3 linked regions of the Mus musculus genome follow. The protein of the gene in region 1 purifies or fractionates together with the protein of each later gene. This does not show direct contact. Links are inferred from orthologs where the notes say so. Each region holds a gene or a part of one and is shown in the gene's direction. Other genes may lie near its edges.

Region 1 (5,693 bases):
ACATAATCCCCAGGATTGGACAGGTAAACGTCACTAACTTGTTCATAGACGGAAAGTTATTTCCAATGATATTAGAAAATATCTGCTTCCAGGAATCTTCAAGAAGATGAGAAGATGGGTGCATGAGCAAAATAGTCCTCTACCACAGCCCCCAGTTAGTGATCTAATTGTATCTTCTCTCAGAATTGGAGGGTTTTCTGGAACTCAGGCTCAGGTCAGGTTGGCAGGGGATTGAGAGTCTAGAGTTGTGGTTTCTCTGCTTAGTATATTTGTCATCCTTTCTTAGTCTCCTATACTGACAAAGATCAATTGTCAAATGACCCAAAACATTCCTCTAGTGATGAAAAGAATAGTTTGCTTTTGATAGTGAAGCTTAACATGCAACAAATGAAACAATTTTAGAGAGTTACTGTGGCCTGTTGGTGAAGAAAACAGAATACTATTGTTTGGTGTGGTGAGAGAGGTTTCTAGCTATATTGTGAAGGATGGTCACTAAACTACTTTTCTAGAACTTGTTTAGCTCCTACTTGAATGATTGAAAGGAAGAAGAATCCTTACCAAGTTTTTGAAATGAATTCCAAGTGTTTGGTGAGGAAGTCATTTTATTAAGGAACAATTAGTAGATTAAAATATCTGTGACGAAACAACACTGTAATACCTGCTCTGGGTCTCCTTTCTATGTCTTACATCTGGATAGGAAGACAACATTTGCACTGAAAACCCCAAGACATGCCTGGAAATGTGCAGAGTACACTCTGATTGGATTAGCATGGGCCACAGAATAGAATGCATTAAATGGATGCACTGAGGACACATAGTATTCATTTGCAAACAGACATGGGAGCTCAGAAAGAGCTCAGAATTCTCACCTTATAACTCCATTCCTGGACCATGTTGCAACAGTATCCTTTTGAGGGTCCTGAACAAAATCCAGACTGACTTGTGAAAATGAGTTCTTTCCCAGGGTTTGCATTCTCATCAGAGGACTTGGTGGACTCAATGAATTCTCTGAGTATCCTGTATGTGAGACAGTTATGCTGTAGTTTTGAAGTTGAGTGAGAGCTTAGGGTGGACTGTAAAGGCAACCTTCAAGATCAGAGGGTCTCCAAGCAATGTAATTTTATCCATCAGGATAACCTGGCATAAGGTGGTGTGCCCTAATTGTTAGTTCCTCCATTCTTGGGGTGCTATTTTTACACATTCCCAGAAGGGAAGAAAGGAGTATTGTTCGTGGAGGAGAAAGTAAGACCTGAGAGTATGGGCTGTGGGAGCTGATTATAAAGACACAACATCATATACCTCTGCTAGACTGCACCAAATAGGGGTCACTTACGCAAATAAGCCCCTTCTCCTCCCTCTAGGTGCAAACTGTCATAAGAACAATTTCAGAGGTTGCCAGAGAGGAGTGGACCGTGTGACTTTCTGATCCAGATCGGAGCTGAGAGTGTGACTCTCAGATACACGGGTCTATGATACATTGTATCCTTTTGGAGGTCAAGCATAAACTCTAGGCCACCATGTGGGAATGAGCCTCTCCCCAAGCTTTGATATCTGGGTTCCTGGGAGTTTTAGAGTCATTTTGTGAGATTCATGAAGCCCAGAAGCTGCCTCAGTGCTGACTTGCGGAAAAGAGCCCCTCCCCAACCCTCTTGCATCCTGGGACATTGAGGATTCAGAGCCATTTTGTGAGATTTACGGAACCCAGAAGCTGCCTCAGTGCTGACTTGTGGAAAAGTGCCCCTCCCCAACCCTCTTGCATTCTGGGACATTGAGGATTCAGCGCCATTTTGTGAGGATGCTGGAGGCGGTCTCGCCACACTTTCGGTGTTGAGGTGAGTGCTTCTGCTGAGGTGAGGTGGGTGGAAAAGACCCCTTTCAGGATGGATAGTGTCCACATAATGCAGTTTAACCCATTTTGTTAGACTGGCACCAAGTGGGGCCACTTGGAGGTTCCCATAAGAATCCTACTCTTCGAGGGTAACGTCCCACTGGACCGGAGAGTGGCCTGGGGAAGCGGCACACCTAGCACAGGGAACTTCAAATTGTTAGCTGCACTCCTGTGGTGAGCAGTGTTTTAAATAGTGGGCCAATGGTATTTTTGAGTCCTCTGCCAAGTCTGTCACATATGGAAAAATGATGTTTAGAGGTCTTTAACACAGATGGCAATGTTCTTTTCAGAGTGTATTTGGAAATTTTAAGTGGAATGCAGACGCTTCAGTTGGGATCCACTAGAAGTGCTCCTCTCACAGAACTCAGCACCTAGGAGCCATTTAGGAGTTTCAGGTAGAGGAGGAGCACCAATGTCTTTCAGTCATGGTGGGAACTAGGTAGAGAGTTGCAGAAGTCCCACCCTAGATCGAAAGGCAGGGATAGTATACCAAACCATGTCCTCTATATAGTCCTAAAAACCTGGCTGAAGTACAGAAATAAGTTCCCTCTCCTTTAACAGCCACCACCAGATACCTGGAGTCCTTGAAGTCATTTTTGTAAGGTCCTGGAGCTTTGAAGATGGTCCAGGTTCTGACTTACAAGAGTAAGCCCTGCCACACTACTCTTCCATATCCATATCTGTGGCTGTGAGGATCTGGACCCTTTTTGTAAAGTTCCTAGAGAAGAGATGGCCATGAAAAAGCTTTTATGCTTTGTAAGCAAGTAATGTTTACATTCTGGTGACAGGCTCTCCAGTCAACGCAATTTAACCCCTTTGATATCATGTAGGCACAGAGCATGAGGCACTTTCCACACTTCTACTTCCTCATCTGGGGACTTGGGGACTTAAAGATGCTTGTAAAGTTCCTGGAGGAGAGACAACCATTAAAATTGATGAAGGTGTACTTTTGAGACATTTTCTGCGTAGAGGGTACTCAACACATTCTGGCACCCAGTGAGGTCCACTTTTAGAAATGAGTCCCTTGCACTTCAGATCTTAGGCTTCCACATTCTCTTCAGCTATGGGCAAAGTAACCTGATGTAGTGCACCTTTGCTTCAACCTGTAAGGTATGAGGGAGGATCAGGCCTTGTTCTGAGGTAAAGGCCTCAGATCTGTAGAGGTAAGGCAGGCACCAGATCCCTGAAGGACGAACAAGGAGACCCCTGATACTATCCATATAAAAGCTGCCTCTGTTGTGTGTTCACACTAATCTGGGGAAGACTATGAATTATGTTTGGGTGTAAGGTGGGGAGCAAGGGTGACCTGGGCCTGAATGATAGATGTGAGGGTCAGCAGGTACCTTGTTAGAAGTAAATAGGAAATCCTTCAGAATCCCTAAGACAAGAATGGACTCCTGATTCTTCCACCAGTCTTGAGAAACACTCCAAGAGTGTTCAGATGTCCTTCTTAACTTCTGTGTCTTTCAGGAAGTTGAGACTGAGTAAATGGGATTACCAGAGAAGCAGAGAGAGCCACACCTGGTTACCAGAGTAGGTGTATAGTATCTGCCGGCAATCAAGGTGAGTAGACATGGTAAGAACTGAACATCTGAAAGTATACATCATCCTCCATACATGGTCTGCCCTTGTTCTCCTGCGTAGGATGCCCTGGAAGTGTGGTTGTTGTGGCTGCATTTCCTTTCTGCCTCTGGACTAAGGAAAGGGGGTCTGAGGGATGTGAAGACCTTGGTAGTAAGGTCTTCAGATGTCAAATAAAGAGGAGAGCCCCAGACGAGCCAGACCCCAGGCATGGGCCTCTTGTGATGACTGCATGTTTCTGCAGCCAGAAAGAAGGGACTGTGCTGTCTGCCTGTGTCCTGGGACCAGCTCTTGGGGAAGCTGAATGACCAGCTTACTTAAACTAATTCAGGTGGGAAAGAGGGACATAGCTGGGAAGAGGAGAACTAGTATAAAGTGAGCCTGTTGGGAAGGACAGATCAGATAGAGATGCTGCATTAAATGGACACAACATGGTCTGGGCCATGCATGCATCTCTAGGGATCCCACTCAACATAGAAGCAATGGGACCACCAGTTCAAACATTCTGATTATTTTCATGATCTCTTGGTGTTGAGGGACTTGTTCTGAGTGTGTGACCTTGGTTATTTGCAGTGGTTCCATGATCTATCATCAGAGTAGGTGGGAACCCCAGGGGATGTTGAAAGTAACTCCAGCTCAGAGCACAGACAGAGGACCCACAGAAGCTTATCTCCTGTGACTCCCATGTTCCAGGGCAGGATTGTCAGATCTCTTTTCTTGGTTCTAGGACATTGGTCTCAGAGATCTAAAAACCCTGGTTAAAGGAACCCTGACTGAAGTCATCAAGGGAGGCTCTCAAGTCGGCCAGGACTCAAGGTAAGAACTGAGTAAGTCAAGTCACCTATACAGATGGGGTCCAGCGCCCAACTACTCTCCTGCCAGCTGAGGGAACCCTATGAAAGAGAGGCATATCCCTACTCTCCCTCTTGTCCCCTCCCTTTCTCTTTCCTCTGTCTCAGTGGAGTGGGCCTTTGCGTAAGACATGTAGTCTCAACTCATCACAGGAAGCAGAGCCATAAAGCTAAAAGTTGGGCAGTTCCCCACAGTTAACTAGAACACCTTTTGCAGTTGCCTTGAATAGTTGCAAGATGGAGGCACCTTCACTGCCTTTTCAGAGAGGAGGCAGTTTGTTTCAGGGATTTGCCTTAGGACAGCAGAAGGTTGGGGTCCAGGAGTTTGTTTTAGGCCAGTAGATGAGATGGAGTCCAGGCCCTGACAGGAGACAAGGGAGGACCCACAGTGAACACACAGGGAATTTGAGAGTTGTCTAACTCTTCACAGTGCAGTTCAAGCTCCTATATAGAATGGGGATCCAGTATTAGCGTTGCAGTCTATGATTGTGGGATGCCTCATCCTCTCTTACAAGAGCTAGGTAAGGATCTTTATCTGAGGTGATTTCATCGGGGGAAGCCCAGGCAAGGTCTAGAGTAAAGCTGAGGTGCAACCACAAATATGTCACATGTACCCCAAAACTCTTTGCTTAGCCTCATGCACACTTCTGGCAACCCTGAAGCCTCTACTCTGCCCCAGTTTCAGTATGAGGAAACTTGTCACTACTCCCCTCTGTCTCTCAAGAGACAGACCTGACAGGGAGATAGGACTGCTTGTTGCTTTAGAATACACATAATAGAAAGATTGGCATTTTGTGAGCCTTTCCAGTGGAGTAACTGTCAACAATGAATAAATACTTCTACTGTCCCCTTTTCCCCCTAGGTCTCTGGGTCTATATCTTCAAGCTCCTGCCTGGTGTTCAAGACTAGACTTATCATCATGCCTAGACCCCGGAAGCGTAGGAGATGTATGGTTGAGGGACAGCCTGAGGCCCAAAGTGTTGCAGTTACAATGGAAGAAGATTCCTCCTCATCCTCTTCTACTTATTCCTCGTCTTTCCCTTCTTCCTTCTCTTCTACCTCTTCTTCCTATGCTCTAACATCAGGCAACTCAGAGGAGGGCTGTGCTGCTTCTAGAGCATCAAGTCCTCATAGTCCTCCAGGAGCTGGCTCCTCCTGCACTGCTATGATTTCCTCTCCACGTAGCCAGGTCAGTGCAGACTCTGAAGGTGAGGACAGTCCAGGCTCCTCACAGGCCCTGCCATGTGGTACTTCATTGTCTACAGGTGAGATAGATGTCAAAGTAGACGAGTTGGTAAAATATCTGCTCCTTAAGTATCTTATGCAGGAGCCAGTCAGCAAGGCAGAAATCCTGAGTAATATCATTAGAAATT
Region 2 (5,054 bases), on another chromosome or scaffold:
CACACACCTTTAACCCCAGCACTTTGGAAGTATAGGCAGGTGGATCTCTGAGTTCAAGGCCAGTCTGGTCTACATAGCAAGTTCCAACTCAGCCAGAGCTATAAAGTGAGACCCTCCCCCAACCAAAACAAACAAACAAAAAAACATCCCCCCCCAAACCAAAACACACAAACCACAAAGATCTGTCTGTCTGGCAGACATTGTCTATTTTGTGACAGTGTCATGTGTGGCTCAGGCTGGCCTGGCCGGGAACTCACGATATGGCTGAAGCTGACCTTGAACTACTGATTCTCCTGTCTTGACCTCCCTATGCTTAGGATGGCAGGTATGCATTGCCAAGCCAGGCTTCATTGTAATCATTTGGAACAGTCACTCATTTGCCAACTGTTGAGTAGGAATGGGGATTAAATGTGGTTTTCTCACTCCGTAAATCACCAGCTGACTTTCAAACCAGATGATGAACTGAGGCTGTTGAAAGCTTTCAGTCTTCCGGTGGTAAATTGTGCCCCTCTAGGCTACAGCTCTCTGCGCACTGACACATGCGCACTGCGGCTTTCCCTTTCCCCAGATGTCGTTCTGAGTGTTACTGAGAAAATGAAGGTTGTCTGTGCTTTTGTTTCACTCCTGAGGTTTCTTTTGTTTTAGCCTTTGTTGTATTCATTTACGTGTCTTGCCTGTTAGTGAGGGTGGAAGAATGCCATAAGGTTGTGTGCCCCAAGCCCGTGTGGTGGTCAGAAGACAGACAACTTCGGGTGTAGGTCTTTGCTTTCTACCTTGTTTGAGACAGGGTCTCTAATGTTGTTAACTACTGTGTATATATAGCAGGCCCGTTGGCCTGTGAGCTTCTGGGCACTGTCTTGTGTCTGCCGCCCATTTGCTGTAGGACAACAGCAGAGTTCCCTGTGCTTAACACTGGCATGACGGACCATGCCTTTATGTAGGTGCCGGAGGTTTAACTTATTCTTCACGCTCAGTGAGCTGTCTCGCTGTAGAATACGCATGAGTTTTTGCCTTGTTTAATGTATGTAAACAGTGTAAAATACTGCTCTTCTGCTTTTGTTGATATGCATGTTTAGGATGTGTGTGCAAGCGTGAGTGCATACATACCACATGTGGCTGTGGAAGTTAAGAGGTCAGCCTAGGGTATGCTGTTCGTCTTCTAGCAGGTTTGAGGCGGGGCCAGACTGGCTAGGGTGATCTTCCAGGGATTCTTATGCCTACCTCATATCTAATCCTAAAAACTCTGGGATTACAGGTGTGGTCAGCTACATCTCACGATCGGTGTCAAACTCTATCCACTGAACCATCTCCCTAGCTCCTACTTAAAATTCATTATGGTTATTGTGTGTATGTATGCCTGGTGTGTTTGTGTGTGTGTGTGCACCACAATGTGCATGTGGAGGTGAAGTGATAACTCCATAGGGTTGATTCTTTCCCTTCCATCTATGTGGGTTTCAGGGGTTGAGCTCAGGTACCCCAGGCTTGTGCGGCAAGCACTATGCACCCCTGAATCATCTCATGAGCTCATCAGCAGCCTTCCCCCACTGTACCCAATCTCACCATGTAGCTCTGGTTGTCCTGACTCACTGTGTAAAACAGAATGGCCTCAACTCAAACTCACAGAGATTCACTGGCCTCTTCTTCCTGGGAGCTGGGATTATTAAAGGCATGCACTACACACAGCTTATTTAGAGAAATGGTCTTTTTATGCAGTACTGGCTGCCCTTGAACTCACTGTGATATAGACCAGGGGGGCTTCCAACTTGTGGCCACTCTCCTGTTTCTGTTTCCTAAGTGCTGAGCCTACAGGTGTGGGGTACCATGTCTGGCTATTTTTATTGCTGTTATTGTTTATTTTTTGAGACAGGGTTTTACCATGTGACTCTGGCTATCCTGGAACTTGCTATTATCAGGCTAACCTCAAATTCAGAGCTCCTTCTGGCTTGAGGCATTTATATATGCGTTGTCAATTTGGCAGGAAGGCTGAAAGCTGTAAAGTTAACTTTTCACGATCACCTGGTCACCGTCACCTCTGACTTCGGTGGTTTTCTCCCCTCACCCCTCTGCTCTCTGTGCAGCCCTCCCTCCCGCAGTACAGGCTGAGGTGCTGCAATGGGCCCTGGAACTATGTTCTTCTGTGTCCCTTTGGGGAACACTGGGGCATACCCAATGCTCAGACCTAACTTGCTTCTTTGTTTCCCCAGAATTCCATTCGACACAACCTTTCCCTTAACAAGTGTTTCCGGAAGGTGCCCAGACCTCGGGATGACCCTGGGAAGGTGAGTCGCTGCTGCAGGAATCAAAGGGAGGAGGAAGGAGAGGTGACACTCAGAGTCCGGTGGCTGTGCTGATGACCAGGGAGGAAACCATGTTAGCTTTAGAAGCATCGTTGTGTTTTCCTCAGAGGAAGAGCATGGCTGCCAAGCTGCTGGGTCTTTCCTAGAGTGGGAGACTAAGGAAGACTATGAAATCTTTTTGTTTTAATAGGAATGTTTATGATGGAGTTGTCTTTGAGATTCTTTCTCTCTCTCCCTCCCTCCCTCCCTCCCTCCCTCCCTCCCTCCCTCCCTCCCTCCCTCCCTCCCTCCCTCTCTTTCTTTCTTTCTTTCTTTCTTTCTTTCTTTCTTTCTTTCTTTCTTCTCACTATGTAGACCTGGCTGACCTGGAACTTTATATGTAGACCAGGCTAACCCCAACTCATAGATTCAAGTGGTGGGATTAAAGACATACATCAGTATAGGTGTGGTATTACACATCTTTAATCCCAGCACTCAGGAGGCAGAGACAAGTGGATTTGTGTGACTATGAGGCCAGTGTGGTCTTCATAAAGAGTTCCAGGATAGCCAGGGCCTTAGAGAGAGACTCTGTCTCAAAAAATTAAAAAAAAAAACAAAACTAAACAAATAGCAAAGGCATGTCCTTATGCCCAGCCTTTTAATTTTTTAAAGATAGAGTCTCACACTCTGTAGCCCAGGCTGGCGGGACCCCCTTTCTTTTGAGAAGCACTTGTTTCTACATGTAAAATGTTGGCTTAGTTAGTTTTGTTTTGTTTTGTTTTTGAGACAGGTTTTACTGTGTAGCCCAGACTGGCCTCAGACTTGTCATTCTCCTGCCTTAGTCCCTCCTGAGTGCTGGATTACTGGTGTGTACCAACATCGCCAGTTTGCTCGCTAACCTTTCGGAAGCTTTTCTGTGTGGTCTCAGGCCTGACCTTAACGGGAGAAGGGAGAGGTTCTTCCCATTTGACAGATGCTAACGCTTAAGGCACTTTTGCCTCAGGTCGTAGGGGAAGGGACCAGGTTTTCTGGCCTTTCTCAGCTCTCTGACATAGTCTCTGACATTAGTCTTCTGCCCCTTTGGAACGTTTGAAGCTAGTGTTTGGACTGCTCTGTGACCTCCGAGGGCAGATTTACTCCTCGCTAGCACTCAGCTCCCTTGGGATTCCGTCAGGAGGTCTAGCCTGGCGTCTTCTCTCTCCCCTCCTTCCCTTTCCTTTTTCTCTTTTCTCTTGCTTGATCTTCCTTCCTTCCTCCTCTCTTCTATTCTGTCTTGGGGAATCCAACACCATGCTAGGCAAACACTCTGCCACTGAGCTACATTCCCGAGCCCCACCCCATTTTCAGCATGACTGCTATTAGAGGCTCTTTCCAACAGGAACTTTATAGGTAATGCTTCTCTTTCCCGTGGGGTTGGGTTCCCCTTCCAGGGCTCCTATTGGACAATTGACACCTGCCCTGACATTTCCCGGAAGAGAAGACACCCTCCAGATGATGACGTAAGTGCTCTCTTCTTTGGGAGAGCTCTTTCTTGGATTTTAGTCATTTCTGTGACTAAATGCGGGTTAGCACCAGCAAGGTGGAGCCACAAGCTGGCTCGTGGGTGGGTGCCTCACCCTGCATACAGCTTTTCTCTTCTTTCACAATTCTCAGCTATCCCAAGACTCCCCAGAGCAGGAAGCCAGCAAAAGCCCCCGGGGAGGTGTTCCAGGGAGTGGAGAAGCCTCACTCTCTCACGAGGGGACTCCTCAGATGTCACTTCAGAGCCCCTCCTCCGTGGCCAACTACAGCCAGGTAGGAAGCTGAGATGACAAGCATAGGGTAATTGGACGGATGGTTCAGTGGGTTTGGATATCACGCCGTTCACTTGCATATTGAGTACCTTGTCATGTGCTAGGCAGATAGATTGGGAAAGAAGGAAAAAGCAAAGGAGGAAAACCCAGCCAGAAGGAAGGAGGTGCAGAGAGGCATGGAGGTGCACTAGGGAAGGGCTTGTAGAAAAGAAATGGAGAGTGATGTAGAAGCCAGGTTCAAGATGGCCAATGAGAGCGGGAAGAGCCGGTGATGCTGTGCCATTGGCCAGCTGGAGACGGTGAAGAGGACAGACCTGACTGACCCTGGTGGGTTATGCTGCTTAGAAGGCTTAGGTCACCGTTCTTACCTGTCTTTGCAGGGCCCAGGGTCTGTGGATGGTGGAGCAGTGGCAGCAGGGGCCCCAGGCCAGGAGAGCACAGAGGGCGCCCCTCCCCTCTACAACACCAACCATGACTTCAAATTCTCCTACTCAGAGATCAACTTTCAGGACCTAAGCTGGTCCTTCCGCAACCTCTACAAGTCCATGCTGGAGCGGTCCTCCTCCTCCCAGCACGGTGAGTCTGCAGTGGGACAGGCGGGGACATCCTTGTTTTTTTTTTTTTTTTTTTTTCTTTCCTCTTTTTCTTTGACACAGGGTCCCTCTTTGTAGCTTTGGCTGGTCTGGAACTTGCTAGGTAGATCAGGCTGGCTTTGAACGTAAAGAGATCTGCATGTCTCCCCCTTCTGGTTGCTGGGACTGAAAGTTTCTTATACTGTCAAGTGGTAATGTTCTCTTCTCTCCCTATTTTCTGTCTTTTGTTTTTTTTTGAGATTACATTCTCTCTCTCTCTCTCTCTCTCTCTCTCCCCCCCCCTCTCTCTCTCTCTCTCTCTCTCTCTCTGTGTGTGTGTGTGTGTGTGTAGTCTTTAAAAAATGTTACAATGCGCAAGTCCCAGGGAACAAACTTGCATTGGGTTTGGCAGC
Region 3 (5,759 bases), on another chromosome or scaffold:
CGTATGTATGTGTGTCTGTATGTATGTACGTATGTATGTGTGTCTGTATGTATGTACGTATGTATGTGTGTATGTATATAGCTGATGGCTCAAACATTTGCACCGTCATCTCAGTGAGCAGCTTCTGTTTGAGGATTACTATTTTTAATTAAAAAACAAAAAAAGCTTTGTTTTGTTTCACTGAGCAGAGGTGACAAATGTGTACTACCTCACTTGGTTTTATGTGGTGCTGAGGGTAAAACCCAGGGCTTCACATACCCTAGGCAAGCACTCCACCACCAAGCCCCAGCCCAGCCCTGAGCCTCACCTTTTTAAATTTTTTTTATTTTCTGGTTTTTCGAGACAGGGTTTCTCTGTGTAGCTCTGGCTTTCCTGGAACTCACTTTGTAGACCAGGCTGGCCTTGAACTCAGAAATCCACCTGCCTCTGCCTCCCAAGTGCTGGGATTAAAGGCGTGTGCCACCATGCCCGGCTGAGCCTCACCTTTTTTAAGCCAGCACAGGTGCTATTTACTGTGGACAAACCATCTTACCCCCAACTCACCAGAGTAAGCAACAAGGGGACCAGAGGGAAAGGCAGGGAGGCAGGAGCCCGCTCACCTTAGAGTCTCCCAGCAAAGACCAGAAAAGGAGGCCATGGCATCCACACCCACAAACACCACCATGAAATGGCCCGTGGCCTCATCTTGCTCCTCCTCACCCCGGGGCTGAGCACGTGAATAACTGAGCAGCCGGCTTCCAGTGCCTTCTGAGCTTTACGGTGCCTGAAGAAGGTGGCCCTGCCGGGACTTACCGGCCATGACAGGGTAGTTGAAGTGTTCTGCCGCCGGGTCCAGGTTGACCACCTGGACAGATCGGTTGAGGGCTTCACAGTGCTGAACCATGGTGGAACAGTAGGTGCTCTGTAACGTGACAAGGTGGGGGGTTAGCACCCAAGGCAGTAGCGTACCGCCCTCCACATGCCCAGACAATTCTCCCCTCTCTGAGCCAGTGTCCACCCAAGCCAAACTGCACCTCCAGGGAAACCCTGGGAAGGCGATGAGACCAGAGCTGCAGATCTAGATGCAGGGCGTGGGCTCAGGATGTTTCTTTAACACAGTCTACAAATTAACGTAGGTTACAGAAATGACCTCCTCCACGCTCCACGCTTCCTTTTGACAGCCTGTTCTCTCTACCTAGGACAGCCCCACCATACAGATGCACTGTAACTGACAGGTGAGCTGTGTACCTTCCAGATCAGATGACAGGCCCTGTGGAGTCACACAGCCATCTCTAGTACTCTGAATATTGTATTTATTAAATATTAAAATGATACAAACACCTCTATAGACTCTAGGCATCCCTCAAATGTCACCATTGCCGTTTCTACTGTGCTTAAGTGTCCTTAGCATCATTCTCTTAATATGTACACAAAGAAACACTGTATCACACAAAAAAAATAAATATAAAAACTAGAGCCAGGCAGTGGTGGCAGACGCCTTTAATCCCAGCACGTGGGAGGCTGAGGCAGGCGGATTTCTGAGTTCAAGGCCAGCCTGGTCTACAGAGTGAGTTCCAGGACAGCCAGGGCTACACAGAAAAACCCTGTCTCAAAGGAAAAAGAAAAAAATGCCCACAAACAGTGCATATCTACAAACTTATCTGAAACCCATACTCCAAACTTCTGAGAAAAAGGGAAGAAAAGACCCCATACTGGGTGCGTGGCAGGGGGCCTTGTCTGGAATTAGACAGGGGAAAAAAAACCAAAAAAACAAAAAGACCAACAACCCAGACTCAGATTCCGGGGCGGACCTAAGTAAGCGTATGATTTTGAACAAAATAAACCTTTCTGTGTTTGTAATCTGTAGAATGGGTATAGGATCAAGCACACAGAATGGATATGAAGACACCTGGAACGACCAGGGCAGTTCCTGGAGCAAAGGTGTCCTGCAGCTCTGTCTGGGTGCTGGACAGAACTGAAGTCTTTTGGGAGGACAGAACAAGCTCTTGAGCGCTCAGCCCTCTCTCAAGCCGCTCAAGAGCTATTAAAGCTGCTATCACTCCCAGACAAACAAAAAAAAAAAAAAAAGCAAGGTACAAGCAGAGAGCAGGAAGCCGTATACCCAGGGTTTCCCCGGAGCCCAGCCACCCACGCACCGCAGCTCCTCCAGGCTCACCTTCCCGCTGCCCGCGGGGCCCATGACGAGCTGCGCATATCGAGGCATGCCGCCTCTCCGGGGGTTTCACACACAGCCGACGGCCACACTCCCTTCAGCCTTCGCGCGACAGCCACGGCGTTCCGGGGAATGTGCGTAGGAGCCAATCGCAACCACAGATCGCTCGTTCAGCACGGGTATTTACTACACCATAGACTACGGAGCGTCCCCAGGGCCAAAATGCCTTCCGAAACGCGTGCCGTGCTCAGAGAGGAGGCGGGGACACGAGTTCGTTCACGCGTGCGCAGAGAGAGAAAGAGAAAGAGCCGAGAGCCGTTATCGGTTGGGCCTCCGGCGAAGGCGGTTGCCTAGGTGATAGCGGATCGCGAATTACGCTCCGCGCCCCCGGGCCGCAGCACCGGTGCTTGGGTTTGACACATAGGGTGACAACCGAAGGTCTGCAGGTCCTCTGAGGGTCTAGAATACTGAGGTGGATAAGGAATACTTGCTTTAGGGTGCGTGTGGATGGATTTGCCCTGACGCGTCCTTGTCAGCGAGAGATGCCCAGGCGCAGGAGCCTGGTTACCTGAGGTTCCTCCGCCCTCGGGTCTACAGCTCCAGGAACTCGGGTCTTCCTCCGCACCATCCGGCGGCCACTTGAGCAGGGTCGGAGTGGGGAGAGCCGGAGGCCGCCGACTCAGAGCCGGTGTGGTGCACGCGTGTGGACGGGATGCCGAGCCGTTGGCCCGGGGTCGCGGGGCCGCCCGCCTTGGCCCGGACGGAAGGCGGTGAAGGGTGAGGCGGCCTTGGGAACCCCTGCCGAGGAGGCGCGAGACGGGGGGGGGGGGGGGGGGGGGGGGAGCGGGCTCTAGCGGGGCTCGGCTGCCGAGGCGGCCTCGGAGCAGGACAGAGACTGAGCTTTCGGGCTCCTAACCTGGCGGGGAGCCGAGGGTCCAGCCGCCTCGGGCCTGGGAAGGTTTTAACTGTCCCCTAGATGGCTGAGGACAGTTGACTTCTGATATCACAGCTGGATGCCATGCTTCCCTGTCCCCCTCCTGGCCTCCTTCCTTAAAAAAATCAAGAGGCGGGATGACTGGGATCCAACTAGGCCCACAATCATGGCTCTTGTAGAATCTGAATCCGTGGCCATGAAATAAAAATATATTTATGTTTATTAAGTACATTATTATTAAATGTACATTTTATTGTAAATATATATTTGGTGCTAAGACTTTTTTTTTTTTTTCCCCGAGACAGGGTTTCTCTGTGTAGCCCTGGCTGTCCTGGAACTCACTGTAGACCAGGCTGGCCTGAACTCAGAAATCCACCTGCCTCTGCCTCCCGAGTGCTGGGATTAAAGGCGTGTGCCACCACTACCCGGCTACAGGAATCAATTTCATTTTTTGAAAAAAGTAAAAAGACCAGATCCATGATTGGAAACAATTAACAAACCAGCGTACTAGTTCCAGCACAACGTAATTGTTCTTTCCAGGACAGAAATTACTTCTATTAAAGAACAAGAAAGATATCATGTGGCTAAGTACAGGAACCAAGCAAACTACAGGCTTGATCTCACTGTAGAATTAGACTAGGACGCTATGAGACCAGATTTACCTAAGTCCTTTCTGGTAAAGTAAATATTAGACTAGGGATCCAGCTTGGTGGTAGTAGAGCACTTGTATAGTGTTGGTTAGCCCTGAGTTCTATCTCCCAGTAACATACACACACTCACACGTTCATCCTAGTATGCTAAAAATCTGACCACTCACTTAGAAAAAGCTGTATTCTTTTTTGTAGCCAATCTAGAGGAGAAACTTGGTAAGACATTGATGGAAACAGGAAAAAGTCAAGAGCGTGTGCAGCTGTCTCTGTTTTCAGACATCCAGTCCAGCTGGGAGTGGTGCCGCACGTCTTTAATCCCAGCACTCTGGAGGCAGAGGCAGGCGTATTTCTGAGTTCGAGGCCAGCCTGGTCTACAGAGTGAGTTCCAGGACAGCCAGGGCTACACAGGGAAACCCTGTCTTGAAAAAAAAAAACCCAAAACATTCAGTCCTCAGTGGCTATGAGGCTGCCAGATTACATTATGCGTGTTCTTTGCTAACAGATCAGCTGGACATTCTTATCCCCAGAATTCCAAGGGCACTGGCGAGCAGCATAAAGCAGGTAATGCATGTGGATTACAGATTTGAGAGAACCCAGGTTCCCTGTAACTAAGTACACAGTGCAGTGTTACCAATCGGCAAAATGGCACAGCAGCTAAGGACACTTGTGGTCAAGCTGGACGACCTGAGTTCAGTTCCCCCAGAACCCACCGGGTAGGCGAGGACTCTCCTTTTGAGTTGTACTCTTTTAAGAGTTTCAAAGATGAGCTCTTTACCTTTTGTTAATATATAATGATTTTTTTTAAAGTACCAGTGAATTGTAAAAGAAATATGTTTAGAATTAGCAACGGTTGGAAAGTGCAGGGCTTTACACCTGTTGTTTACACATGCACTATTGGGGAGAATCCTGCATGAACAGCTTCGGAAACCATAAGCTATTTCACAGGAAGCACTTTCAAAATACCACTTTGCTGATCAAGTTAAGAGAGAGAGGAAAAGAAAGCCTCTAAGGGCCTCTTAGTAACTTTGCAGGCTAAGGGTTAAGGGGAGGTCGGGTGTGCTGGCCTTGGTGACATGGGTGTTTGTGCAGGGGATGCCAGAGGACAATTCTGTGGGTCACTTCTCTCATTCCGTTTGACAGTCCAGGGACTGAGGTCAGATTGCCAGACATGCTGGGCACATCCTTTCCCATCTTGTCAGGCCTGCAGCTCATCTTTATTGCACTGAACTGCTGATGAGGGATCCCGAGTATCATTTGGTGTTGATTCCAGATGTTTGTGCTGCACTTTAAAATAAAGGGCATACTCTATATTCTCTCAAAATGTAACTCTGACTTAAAATACTATAGCTGCTTCAGGATAATCACTGGTAGTCATAAATATGTATTACTAATAATCTTTGTCTCAGAAAGTCATATAATTAATGTCTTTGCCTACAGACAGAATCAAGGAGGGACACAGAGTGTACGCACACATTGCCAAACTGCAGGAGTTATGGAAAACTACTCAAATCCAAACAATTCATATCCCTAAATCAATGACAGATGCATCTTTTCTAAAGGTAAGGCAGAATTTTAAATTTTGACTATGGTGTGTGTGGAGGTCAGCGGGAAGCTTGTGAGAACCAGTTCTCTCCTTCTACCCTGTGTATCCTAGAGGTCAAACTCAGGCTGTCAGTCTTGGCAGCAAGTGCTTTGCTTGCTGAGCCATGTTGCCAGCCCCTGAAATGTTTCTGAAGGATGCCTGATATCAGGTCCAGGGTCTCAGCATCCGAAGCAAGCTCAGCGACCAAGCTCTGGGTCCAGAACTTGTGTCTGAAGATAAACTATGTAGATAGAATTAAGGCTCTGTAGTCTTCATGGCATACGTGACATTCTGTCAGTGAGTCCATGAAGGGAGCCCCTTGCAGAGCTGTGGTGGTGTAACACTGTGGAGCCTGTCCACTTCTTTTTCTTCTAGCTTTGGACACCCTTTTCTTGACTCTGGGCATCTGTACTTGTGCACATCCCCACATGCAGACATACA

The links.
Region 2: the proteins of Magea10 (region 1) and Foxj2 purify together in Homo sapiens (affinity purification with mass spectrometry; 3 studies listed by BioGRID and IntAct, counting the BioPlex papers as one, with this or other methods). This does not show direct contact. The link is inferred for Mus musculus from reciprocal best matches to the Homo sapiens genes MAGEA10 and FOXJ2.
Region 3: the proteins of Magea10 (region 1) and Fam216a purify together in Homo sapiens (affinity purification with mass spectrometry; 3 studies listed by BioGRID and IntAct, counting the BioPlex papers as one, with this or other methods). This does not show direct contact. The link is inferred for Mus musculus from reciprocal best matches to the Homo sapiens genes MAGEA10 and FAM216A.

The regions. Positions count from the first base shown.
Region 1 is NC_000086.7:72,382,933-72,388,625, reverse strand, and holds the start of Magea10 (melanoma-associated antigen 10), read left to right. Parts: upstream 1-1,767; 5' UTR 1,768-1,832; intron 1,833-3,357; exon of another isoform or gene 3,358-3,358; 5' UTR 3,359-3,451; intron 3,452-4,196; 5' UTR 4,197-4,285; intron 4,286-5,182; 5' UTR 5,183-5,239; coding exon 5,240-5,693. UniProt on the Homo sapiens protein: Not known, though may play a role in embryonal development and tumor transformation or aspects of tumor progression.
Region 2 is NC_000072.6:122,829,232-122,834,285, forward strand, and holds part of Foxj2 (forkhead box protein J2), read left to right. Parts: intron 1-2,145; exon of another isoform or gene 2,146-2,204; coding exon 2,205-2,279; intron 2,280-3,706; coding exon 3,707-3,775; intron 3,776-3,929; coding exon 3,930-4,070; intron 4,071-4,449; coding exon 4,450-4,645; intron 4,646-5,054.
Region 3 is NC_000071.6:122,369,053-122,374,811, reverse strand, and holds the start of Fam216a (protein FAM216A), read left to right. Parts: upstream 1-2,469; 5' UTR 2,470-2,864; coding exon 2,865-2,929; intron 2,930-4,238; coding exon 4,239-4,297; intron 4,298-5,173; coding exon 5,174-5,295; intron 5,296-5,759. Other genes in the region: Gpn3 (GPN-loop GTPase 3), read right to left, coding at 793-901, 2,156-2,203.